Mus musculus: one gene and its partner. The protein of the gene in region 2 purifies or fractionates together with the protein of the main gene of each other region. This does not show direct contact. Links are inferred from orthologs where the notes say so. Each region holds a gene or a part of one and is shown on either strand. Other genes may lie near its edges.

Region 1 (5,547 bases), on a different chromosome or scaffold from region 2:
CGTTGGTTTCTGACTTTCAGACATCCATGCACTGATATACACACATGTACACACCAGGTAGGAACACACACACACACACACACACACACACACAGGACTTCTGAGGGCAAGAGAGAAAAACATAATAATGATATAACCTTAATGCAGCGCCTATCTTAGCTGGCTCTGAAGAAGCAAGCCACCATACTGAAACTTCTTCTGCAGCAGTGTTTCCCAACCTTCGTACTGCGGCAAACCTTTAATAGGGGGTTTCATGTTGTGGTCACCCCCCCCCCCACCATCACAGAGTTACTTTTGTTGCTATTTCATAACTGTAATTTTGAGGTTATGAATTGTAATATAAATATCTAATATAAATATCTAATGTGCATAATATCTGATATGCGACCCCTGTGAAAGGTGGGTAGACCCTCAAAGGGGTCATGGCCCATAGACCGAGAACCACTGTTGTAGAGTCCCTGGGAGGACCTCTAGCTGACAGGCAGCAAGAGACTGAGACCTCCAGCCCTGTGGTCTCCGGGCAGTGGATGCTGACGACACCTGTGTGAGGGAATGAGTCTTCTTTCCTGGGGGGGGGGGGGTCTTGCTTCTGTAGAGGACCAGTGCCTGGACACCGCAGGAACAGTAGGTGTACTGCTTTAACCTTCTAAAGTGTACCGTGCTATACAGTCATAAATACCTGTTACAGATGGAATAGAAGTTGAGTGATAGATAGTAAGACAACTTAGTTTTAATATTCTTCTTTCAGGAGCATCCAAAGGGTCATGAGTTGATCTACAACCAGTTTTAATGATCTGCCAGCTGAAAGATCTTCCTTCAATCTTTAAAGTTGTATCCTTTGAGAGTGTCATACATGTATCTATACATTGTATATAGATCTTATCCACTCCAGGCTTTCTTACAACAGCTCCTGGACTCCCCCACTGGAATATCCTTTTCCTAACTTCATATCTCTCTCTCTCTCTCTTTTTATATATAACTCAATTTGTACTGCACCTATCAATTTTGATGACAATGAAGAATTGGATTTGTGAAGGAAATTCTACTATCGATTCATTTAAGTGATTTATTTTCTCATTGCAGACATCAACTTTTGAATTGTCCCTTTGGCTTACCCTGGGGGGGCAGTGTTACACATTGGTGTGTGTTGTAAAGTTTCTCCAACAGACTTAAGAAATGACTTGGTCTAACAGCTGTACTAGAAGGAACCCCGAGGGAAGGTGAAAAAGGAAACAAAAAGACAACATATAATTCATGTTTCCTAGACGTCTGAATAAATTTAAAGTTAGGGTCTGTCTATTTAGTCCTGGTTTGAAATTTGCCACGTAAATCCACCAGGCTGGAGCTCCTTCTGTCTCTGCTTCCCAAGGGCTAAGATTTACATGCATGGGCTGTGATTTAAAGCCAGGGACTATACGGCAGGCTTGTGTTCTAGCTACTAAGTACAATATTCATAAAATTATACAAGAAAGTAAGTACAAAGTCAAAATCAAAGACGGGCCTTTTGCCACCAAATGCACCACTTTTGTGGTGGGATGGACCCAGGGCTTTGTATATGGACAACAAATTTTGAACTGTCCCTTTACGTTGCCCTGAAAGTTTTAGATAGCGGACCACTTAAGTAATGAGAGGTAGTTTTGACTTGTTTTGTAAGGTGTGAAGTTCTGAAACTGAGCTTTCTTTACATCCCAGCCTGCACAACCTATTTAGCAGGTGTACACTTAAGCAAGTCTTGAAGGTCGCCTCCAACTCGAAATTCCCGCCTCTTTCCCAACTGCTCACGTTTGGCCACCTCGGGCTAGGCCCTGGAATGTGACTCCTTGACTGTCGCGCGCGCCTCCGAGCTCAACCTTTTGGAGCCGGTGTGATGAAAGGGACAGAGTGAGAGATCCGCTCGGAAGTAAACTGCTACAAACACCCGCACTCGGTCCAGCTGTGTCCACCAAGGTCTTCAAAAGCCAACCCAACCCGGCGGGCCTGCCCATCGCTCATCCCGAGCTGTCCCACGCTGCTTGGGTACTCTGTGAACCGCACTCCGTGTCTGAAGAGGGCATCCTGCGAAAAGGCGACTCCCCTCCGGCGCCGTTGCTCGCTCGCTGCTCAAACTCAGCCAGAGCCGCCGGGCTGCCCGCGGGCGCCTGCGCACTGGGACCCTCCCTGCTCTGGGCGGGAGGCGGGGGCAGCGGGGAGAAAGGAGCGCTGCGGGAGGGGAGCGGGGGAGGGAAGGGCCAAACCCTGAAATTACCCGGATGTGGTCTCCGCGCGCGCATGCTCAGTGTCCTTCCGACAAGTTGGCAGCAACAACACGGCCCTGGTCGTCGTCGCCGCTGCGGTAACGGAGCGGCTCGGGTGGCGGAGCCCGTGTTCGCGTCCGTCCGCCCGCCCGCCCGCCGTCCTCCGGAGGCCCTTCCCGCGCCGCGCTCCGCTCCGCGGCCGTCCCCGGGGCGGGAGCGCGTGACCGGAGCCGGCGCCCGCGAGCGAGGCCCCCCGCAGCGGGGCGGCTCCGGAGCTCCAGCGGCCCGGCCGGCCGGCGCGGTCCGCGGCGCGGCGGGGAGAGGGGGCCGCCTGGGCCGGACGCCGCGGGCGGGGCCCGGGAAGCGACAGCGAGGCGAGGCGCGGTGCGGCGCGGAGCCCAGGTAACGCGCGGTCCTCCCCTAACCGGGGCCTCGGCGCCCGCGCTTCCCCGCCCCGGGGCGGGCTCCCGCGGCGACCGGCGCGAGCGTGGGCCCAGCGGGGCTCGGGTGGGTCGCCCCCGCGCGTCCGGGGCTTCGCGTGCCCGCGCGTGGCTCCCGGGCCCCAACTCCTCTCGCAGTTAGGCGAGCCCGCCGTCCCGGGAACTCGGTCGCCGGTCCCCGTCCGTGCCGCCGCTCTTTGTTGTTCGGGAGGAGTTTGGCCGCGGCCCGGGCCGTCGCGTCGGCCCGGCCCGAGTGCGTTATGCCCGGGGTGCCCCGGGTCGGGTCCTCGTGCCTTCCCCACCTCCCCCACCCCCCAGCAAGTGTTTGTTTTCTCTTTGTCCCCACTTTCTCTTCCTGGTTGTGTGCTCTGAGTTTACGTTTGTAGCTTTGATTTGTTTACTTTTTGGGTATTGTGGGTGATGGCGGCGTGCGGGAGACACTCTTAGCGCCAAACTGAACCACCCTCCCCTAATAAAACGTGTCTCCTAATAAAAGGCGTAGTTTATTTTATTGTTAGGGCTACATGCACGGAGCGTGAAATTGGTGGAGGGTGGAGGGCGTTGGCTTCAGCACCCCAAACTGCTGTTATGATTTCTCAAGCCAGATTTTCAAAGACAAGGGCGTGTTTAGTTAACTTGAAAGGTTCCTTTGCCAGAGGTTTTAAAAAGCCCTGTTTATTGATAGCTCCTCCCCACTGCCCCACCCCACAAAACCTGGAGTAAACTTAATTTTTAAAGTTGGTTTTCAGGTAATTCATTTTAGAATTTATCAGTGCCTTCAGTTTCTGATAACTTAAGGTGGGATTGTCACTTACTTAGAAATAAAGTAACGAGATAAAGAGGGAGTTATTTTAAGTACCTTGAATTCGTGTTCTGCAGGCTTGTAATCTCGCTTAATTTTTTAACAATCGTTGAATTTTGCCAGATTTAGCATCCTTTTCCTCTCAGTAGTAGCTTGAGACTTTGAACGTTTTAAGAATCAGGTTCAGGACTTTCTGCTGACACAAACCGTGTGGAATCTTAACTGAATGTACAGAAATCTATTATAAATTCCACAAAGCAATTAGATTTCAAGCACCGCATTTGAATAGTTTTTGTTACAGATTTTACAGGTTTACCTTGCATTCAGGATATGAAGCGCTTGCAGTTGAAATGTATGTAGCATAGGCTATTCAGAGAAGTAAACTTCTCCCTACTGTAGACTCTATCTCTTGGATCTATCTGGTAGGATTAGTACGTGTTATTTCAGAGTGTAAATGATTGCTTTAATATTTCTTAAAATACAGTTTCTCCCTAATGCTTTGTTCAGTGTACTGTCATGAGTCTCTAGGGCTTCCTGCTCCTCTCTTCAACTCCTGACCATCCGTGTCTCTCAGCTTCTCCGGAGCTGGGATACAAAATTGCGACACGGTGCTCATAGGCTCAGGAGTGTGTTTTCTTCAGTGACCTGGTTACAAACATGCACCGAGGCAGACTAATACCCATAGCCTGAAGCAGCTTCTGATGTGATGAATTATGTAGGCTTCAATTGCCGGAATTAAAACAAATCCTTTCCAAAGAGAATTGACATAAAGGTTTTTAGTTTTTTGTCACTGTCTTAAGACAGGTGGCTTTTTTTTTTTTTTTTTTTTTTTTGCTTTCTAGGCTTTTGAGTGAGTATGCATTAAAGGGGTATTACATATTTTTGTTTTTGAAGATGTAGTTGACACTTTTGGACTAAATGCTTCCACTGTAAATCTTAAGTTGGGAAGAATTAAAATTGTGTTTACAGAATTAAGGAAAATTTGTGCTAAACAAGTCAGTGCAGTGATTTGGCGTGTGTTTTATATGGACCTGAACTTCCCTGATGGTTTTGCTCTTGAAATAGTTCTGATTATATGAGTTGTACAGATCTTGCTCTTTCTTTAAGGTCATTTTCATGTATGCTACATGTTAATTCAAGTGTTTCTGTTGGTGAGTTTTGTCTCTGGATTCTCTGCTTCACACACACGGGGGAGGGGCCGTATTAATGGTGGAATAGTAAAATACTTTATGCAGGATCCCCCCCCCCCCCCCCCCCCGTTAGAACCTGTTTTTTTATTTTTCTAACTGAGCCAGAGTTATAGTAACATTGGCACACACTATTCTAATTGAGCTGTGCATAGCTGGGGCCTGTACCAGGGCAGTTAACCCTGCAGAGTCTGCAGAGTTGGTTAAATCTAAAGTGCATATTTGGGCTTCTTTAAAATTTGATCTCTAGATGAGAGCACAATCCTTTTTTTTTTCTTTTTTGTTTTTGATGAAATATTACCTACTTCAGTTCTATTTTGTCCCCCATCTAGTTGATGCCTAGGTTTTTGTTTTTCTTTTCATTTTTGATTCACCCAGAATGAGTGTCTCTTTATAAGCATCTTGTAATAGCTTTCTCAGTGCTTCCTTGTGGTTGGATACCCCGGCCCTCCACTGTGCTGGGTTAAAGCCGTGAGGAGGACTGACTCAGGTGGTCCTCAGTCAGGTATACAGCTAACCCGACTAAAGGCTGTCATTGTTTCTGTGCTAAGTGGAAGCTGAAGTTAGAGCGGATGTCACATTTAGTACCGCTTTCTCAGATTACTTAGTTCTTTCCCCCATCTGCTGATTAAGATTCACTTAAGGTAGACATTCAGATAACTGATAAATATGTATAGATAGCATGCATATGAGCTACTTCTGTTATGATACTGTAATATCCTCAGCTCATGCTAATGAGGCACATTTAGAGTTGTTGGATTTTTTTTCCCTTTATTTTAAAATGTGTAATTTTGGTAATGGAAAATTTGGCTGAATACCAGCTTCTCAGAAACAAGATATTTTAGATTGTGTCACCTTGACACTACTACATGATGTAGCTGGCA
Region 2 (4,856 bases):
TGAAGCCTTGACACCACACTGTGCTCTACCCATAACATTCATGGACTTTCAAATAGTTTTTATTCTTTTTTTTTTTTTTTTTTTTTTTTGTAAGAGCTCTCCTAGGATTCATCAAATACCAAATGAACCAGATATGGCTGTTCTTTTGGGAGGCAACTTCTCCTGCTGGTTGTTTTTTTTCCCATTTATTTTTATTAAAGATAGGATCTTGGGAACTTAGAGTAACCATTCGAACCAGCATGTATCCTGCAGTAAGATCTGATAGTCAAGATAGATTCAGACAGAAAACTTGAAAGTATATTTGCTATGCATCATATGTAATCAATATGCTGTATATTTTCACATTAAGTAGTTTGATATTGCTGTGCCGGGCAGTGGTGGCACACGCCTTTAATCCCAGCACTTGGGAGGCAGAGGCAGGTGGATTTCTGTGTAGGCAGGGCTACACAGAGAAACCCTGTCTCGGAAAACCAAAACTAAACCAAACCAAAACAAAAGTTTGATATTTTGGGGAATTCTGACCTGCCATGATTTATTTTTTAGATACCAAACTACTATAAAATTATAAAGAAACCGATGGATTTATCAACGGTGAAGAAGAAGCTTCAGAAAAAACATTCCCAGCATTACCAAATCCCAGATGACTTTGTGGCTGATGTCCGTTTGATCTTCAAGAACTGTGAAAGGTTTAATGAAGTATGTTAGCTTCCAACCTATAGAGTATTGGCTATTAGTTTTCTTCTGCTTGTTTGTTTTTTTTTTAACCCCCTGTTGAAAGAACCAACTAATTTGGTTGTTTCTCCCCCTCCCCCTTTTCTCTATTCTATAAAAGCGAAATTTGCTTTTTTCCCCCCTCAGCTCTAGAGAAGAAAGATTGTTATGTGTAGTTTGGAGTATATTCCTAAGTACAAGACACTAAGAGTATTACTGAATACCCTTTCCAAAGGGAGATGTGGTTCAATAGGAAAACAGTCTGAAGTTAAGTAACTTGGTGGGATAGGATTATGTATTCCCACATTGGGTCACTTACAGGAAATTTAACAGCGCCTATATTGTTTAGTTCTGTCACTGGCCATACACAAAAAGAGTGTTAAGACTAAACTGCAGGCCTCAATATGTAATGGTGAGGGTTTGGTTTCTACAGTGAGTTTTTGTGAACTCTGAAGCTAAAGATGCCTTACCTATAACTGAAGGAAAAAAATGTGACAGATACTCTCTATAAGGGAAATTTCTTTTTGTTATCTTTTCAGTAACGTCAAAGTTTATATTGTTATAGAAGATTGTCTTCATTATAGGAGAAGAAAATGGTACTAGATGAGAATCCAGGTCTACTCATAGCAGTCTCTAGTGGCATCAAGGTGTCACTGTAATACACAAACCAAACTCTCCATGAGCTGTAAAGTGTAGTCACCTTGATATCAGTATGCCACAGAATATATCTGTAAAATCTTACTTCAAATTACAAGTTAGAATTTTTGTCTGTTTAAAAATTTAGATTATTTTCAAATGAATATGCTATTGTATACTATCAATGACAGAAAGATACGTTCTGCCTGTCAAGAGTTCACTTTTGGGCCAGGCATAGTGGTGCACACCTTTAATAATAGCACTTGGGAGGCAGAGTCTGGCAAGTGTTTGTGAAGTCCAGGCTAGCCTGGTCTATATAGTGAGTAGATCTAGGATAGCAAGATCTATATAGGAAGACCCTGTCTCAAAAAACAAGCCAAACGAAACAAAAAGTTAGTTTGTGATTAATGTATTGCCATAAAGATAGAATTCTGATTATCTTGTGGAACGTTTCACCATTTTAAAAATAGCATTCTAATTTTCTCTTGAGTAGATTGATGCCTTCAGACAAGTTTCTCCTAAGACTGACCTCAGTAGTGTAGAGTGAGACTGTTACTAAGGTTTCAAAGTAACTTTATTAACAGTTTTGTAAGGAAAGTTGTTCCATGTTTAGTAGAATTTTAGGTAGCACTTAATCTGGTTTTAGCAATTTGTTCTCCCTAGTATGGCTGACTTTCGTCACCAATCCTATACAGTCTCTTAACTTTAGAAAGGTTTATAATTTCCCTTTTTTTTTTTTTGACTCTGGTATCCTTTTTAGATGATGAAAGTTGTTCAAGTTTATGCAGACACACAAGAGATTAATTTGAAGGTAAGCTTTTCAGACCATGCAAACTTGGTGAAGGAATATGCATTATCAATAGGTGAATATTCTTATCTTTTGTTTGCAGGGTGATTCAGAAGTAGCTAAGGCAGGGAAAGCAGTTGCATTGTACTTTGAAGATAAACTCTCAGAGATCTACTCAGACAGGACCTTCACTCCTTTGCCAGAGTTTGAGCAGGACGAAGATGATGGTGAAGTAACAGAAGACTCTGACGAAGATTTTATACAGCCTCGTAGAAAACGCCTAAAGTCAGACGAGAGACCAGTACATATAAAGTAAAATGACTCGGACTTAAATCGGTTGTTAAGAAGAAGGAAACAAAACAAAACACCCTTTTATTTAAGTGTTGCTGGAATATCCTGTGTACAGTGGTTTTACCTCCTTACAGAAGCTGGTAGCTTTCATACAGTATTAGATTGAAATAATGGAAACAGAAAACATTCTTGTCAAGAAAAGGGGAGAGAACTCTGTTTGCAACTTTAAGAACAAAATTAGAAGTGAAAAAATTTGGGGATTTGCTACAAATGAAGACGGTTCTCTGGCTGTTAGAAATGTAGATGATCATGTCTGATAATTGGTGCAGGATACTGAGTTGGGCAAGCCTGCGAGATGTGTCTCTGCTGGAGCACACAGGTACTCAAGATAACTTAAAAGCCTTCCCCTCCACAGATACAAATGGGTTGTTTTCTGGTTAAAAGTGAGTACATGAGATTCCACTTGAATGTCACTAAAGATGCATTGAATCATGCCACTGCATTTTCTCTCATTTTGATCTATTTGGCCTTAGTTTTTAAGTTGGTTTAAAGAACTCAGCAGTAGTTTTATTTTATTCTTAGATGTAGGGTCTAGGAACATAACCATTGATCGTTTAGTCAACTTCGGTGGTGTACTAAAATGATGATAACTTTTAGTAGTGGATCATACAGATTTATGGAAGTCATTTCCAGAAAACCCTCCAAACAATTACACTTACTGGTCAAATCATCTGATCACGCAGTTAGTCATTCCCCTGAAAGCAGGACATTTATTTCAGAATTTTCTGTGTAGGTTAATTAGATTGAGAAGGTGACAACTTTAACCTAGTCTTCTTCATACCAGTTTCCAGTAGACCACTATTGGTAAACAGAAATCTGTCAGCTACCAAATGTGTACAATTTTCTGTATTTCACTTTGTCTTATTTGTAAATAGTGAGCTCAGACTTCTGGCAGATCAGCAACATTTGCTGAGCCTGTTTTTTAAGCTAATGTGTATTCTTACTAATGTTCCTACCAAGAATGGATTTGTAATATATGCTGTCTATTTCTAATGTTCACATTCATATTTTGAGGTTCTATCTTATTTTAATAGAGAACAGACGTCTCAAAAAATCTTCAGAAGCAGCTTATTATTGAAATATCAAAATACTGAAATAAACCCGGTGGGGTTAGATTACTCATCTGTCCACCAAGTGGGACACGTGCATGGACTGGGGGCTTTGAATGACTTAGAAGAGACCTTTAAGTAAATCCTGAGAACGAGCCAATCCCCACTTGAATGGTAATTGGAACAAACCCAACCTTGTTACTACCTGACGGCAGGAGCCGACCTGCAGCAGACAGGTGTGCTCGCTCGGGTTTATCTTCCTCCTCTGCGTTGTGACGCTCAGATCAAGTGTGCTCTAGACTGTGTGCGCCTCTCCGCTGGATTAAGAGTTGTAGTCCTACTTCTGTATGGACACAGTAGAATATAAAGTGACCAAAGTAGAATTCAACATCAGAAACATTTCAGGTGTCAGCAGATGTGTGGCAAATCATTTGCCTCTCAAAAAGTTCAAAGTAAGGAGTTCAGACTGTAGACCTCCTCAGAAAGCTATTTGACGTAAATGTCGAAGAAGTGAATATTTTTAGTGTGCATTGAATCAAATAAAGTGCTCTAAAGAAATTATTACACAGATTCCTTTGGGTTGTTTTTTCTTAAGGGATGTGGGTAAAGAGGAGGAGTATTTAGGCCTTTTCATACTGCACTTAAAAGAGCTTGATCGTGTTATTACCTCATCTCCTGGCTTCCATTTAGCTTCCCTTATAAATTAACCTTCAAATCATTTATCATTTTATTGAAGTTTCAAGTTTGTTTTTTAGGAGGGGAAGAAAATTTATTTTTAAAATGTTTTATTTATATCTATTTCTTTTCTTTGATTTCCATGATTTGACTTTGTAAGTAAATGAATATCTAAGGGTACATTTTTGGCAAGTGGGGGCGCAGAGGTTTGACGTCATTTCCTGACACTTCTGGGTTCCGGTGTTTTTTATTTGCTTCTCATGTGAGTCCTTTACAAACTTCTTAGCAGTAAATTACAAACAATCTCTGTTAAGTGGAGCAAACACAGATTGTTAAGCAAATGTTTCTCAATATTTGAAACCCTGAGAGAGCGTGTGTTCCATAAAGGCATTCTCATGTTACTTGTTGTTTTGTTTCCCTTTAACACTATCAATTTAGAAGTTTCTCTCTGACAAGTGTTTAGGAAGCTCCGTTTTTGTTAGCAAAGGTATCCTGCTGCTGAGGAATAAATTGCTATCAACAAGATGGTCACTTTAAACCCTTTTTGCACACTGATCATTGTGTTTTCTAGGCTGTCCAGCTTTAAAATAAGTATGACTAAAAAATAGAAAAACTTAATTCTTATTCAAATTATCTCATTTCCCTAT

The links. The genes of interacting proteins can lie anywhere in the genome.
Region 1: the proteins of Trim33 (region 2) and Smad4 purify together in Homo sapiens (affinity purification with western blotting; 7 studies listed by BioGRID and IntAct, with this or other methods). This does not show direct contact. The link is inferred for Mus musculus from reciprocal best matches to the Homo sapiens genes TRIM33 and SMAD4.

What each region holds. Positions count from the first base shown.
Region 1 is NC_000084.6:73,700,519-73,706,065, reverse strand, and holds the start of Smad4 (mothers against decapentaplegic homolog 4), read left to right. Parts: upstream 1-2,274; 5' UTR 2,275-2,636; intron 2,637-5,547. UniProt on the Homo sapiens protein: In muscle physiology, plays a central role in the balance between atrophy and hypertrophy. When recruited by MSTN, promotes atrophy response via phosphorylated SMAD2/4.
Region 2 is NC_000069.6:103,351,460-103,356,315, forward strand, and holds part of Trim33 (E3 ubiquitin-protein ligase TRIM33), read left to right. Parts: intron 1-543; coding exon 544-696; intron 697-2,107; coding exon 2,108-2,158; intron 2,159-2,237; coding exon 2,238-2,450; 3' UTR 2,451-4,856. UniProt on the Homo sapiens protein: Acts as an E3 ubiquitin-protein ligase. Promotes SMAD4 ubiquitination, nuclear exclusion and degradation via the ubiquitin proteasome pathway. According to PubMed:16751102, does not promote a decrease in the level of endogenous SMAD4.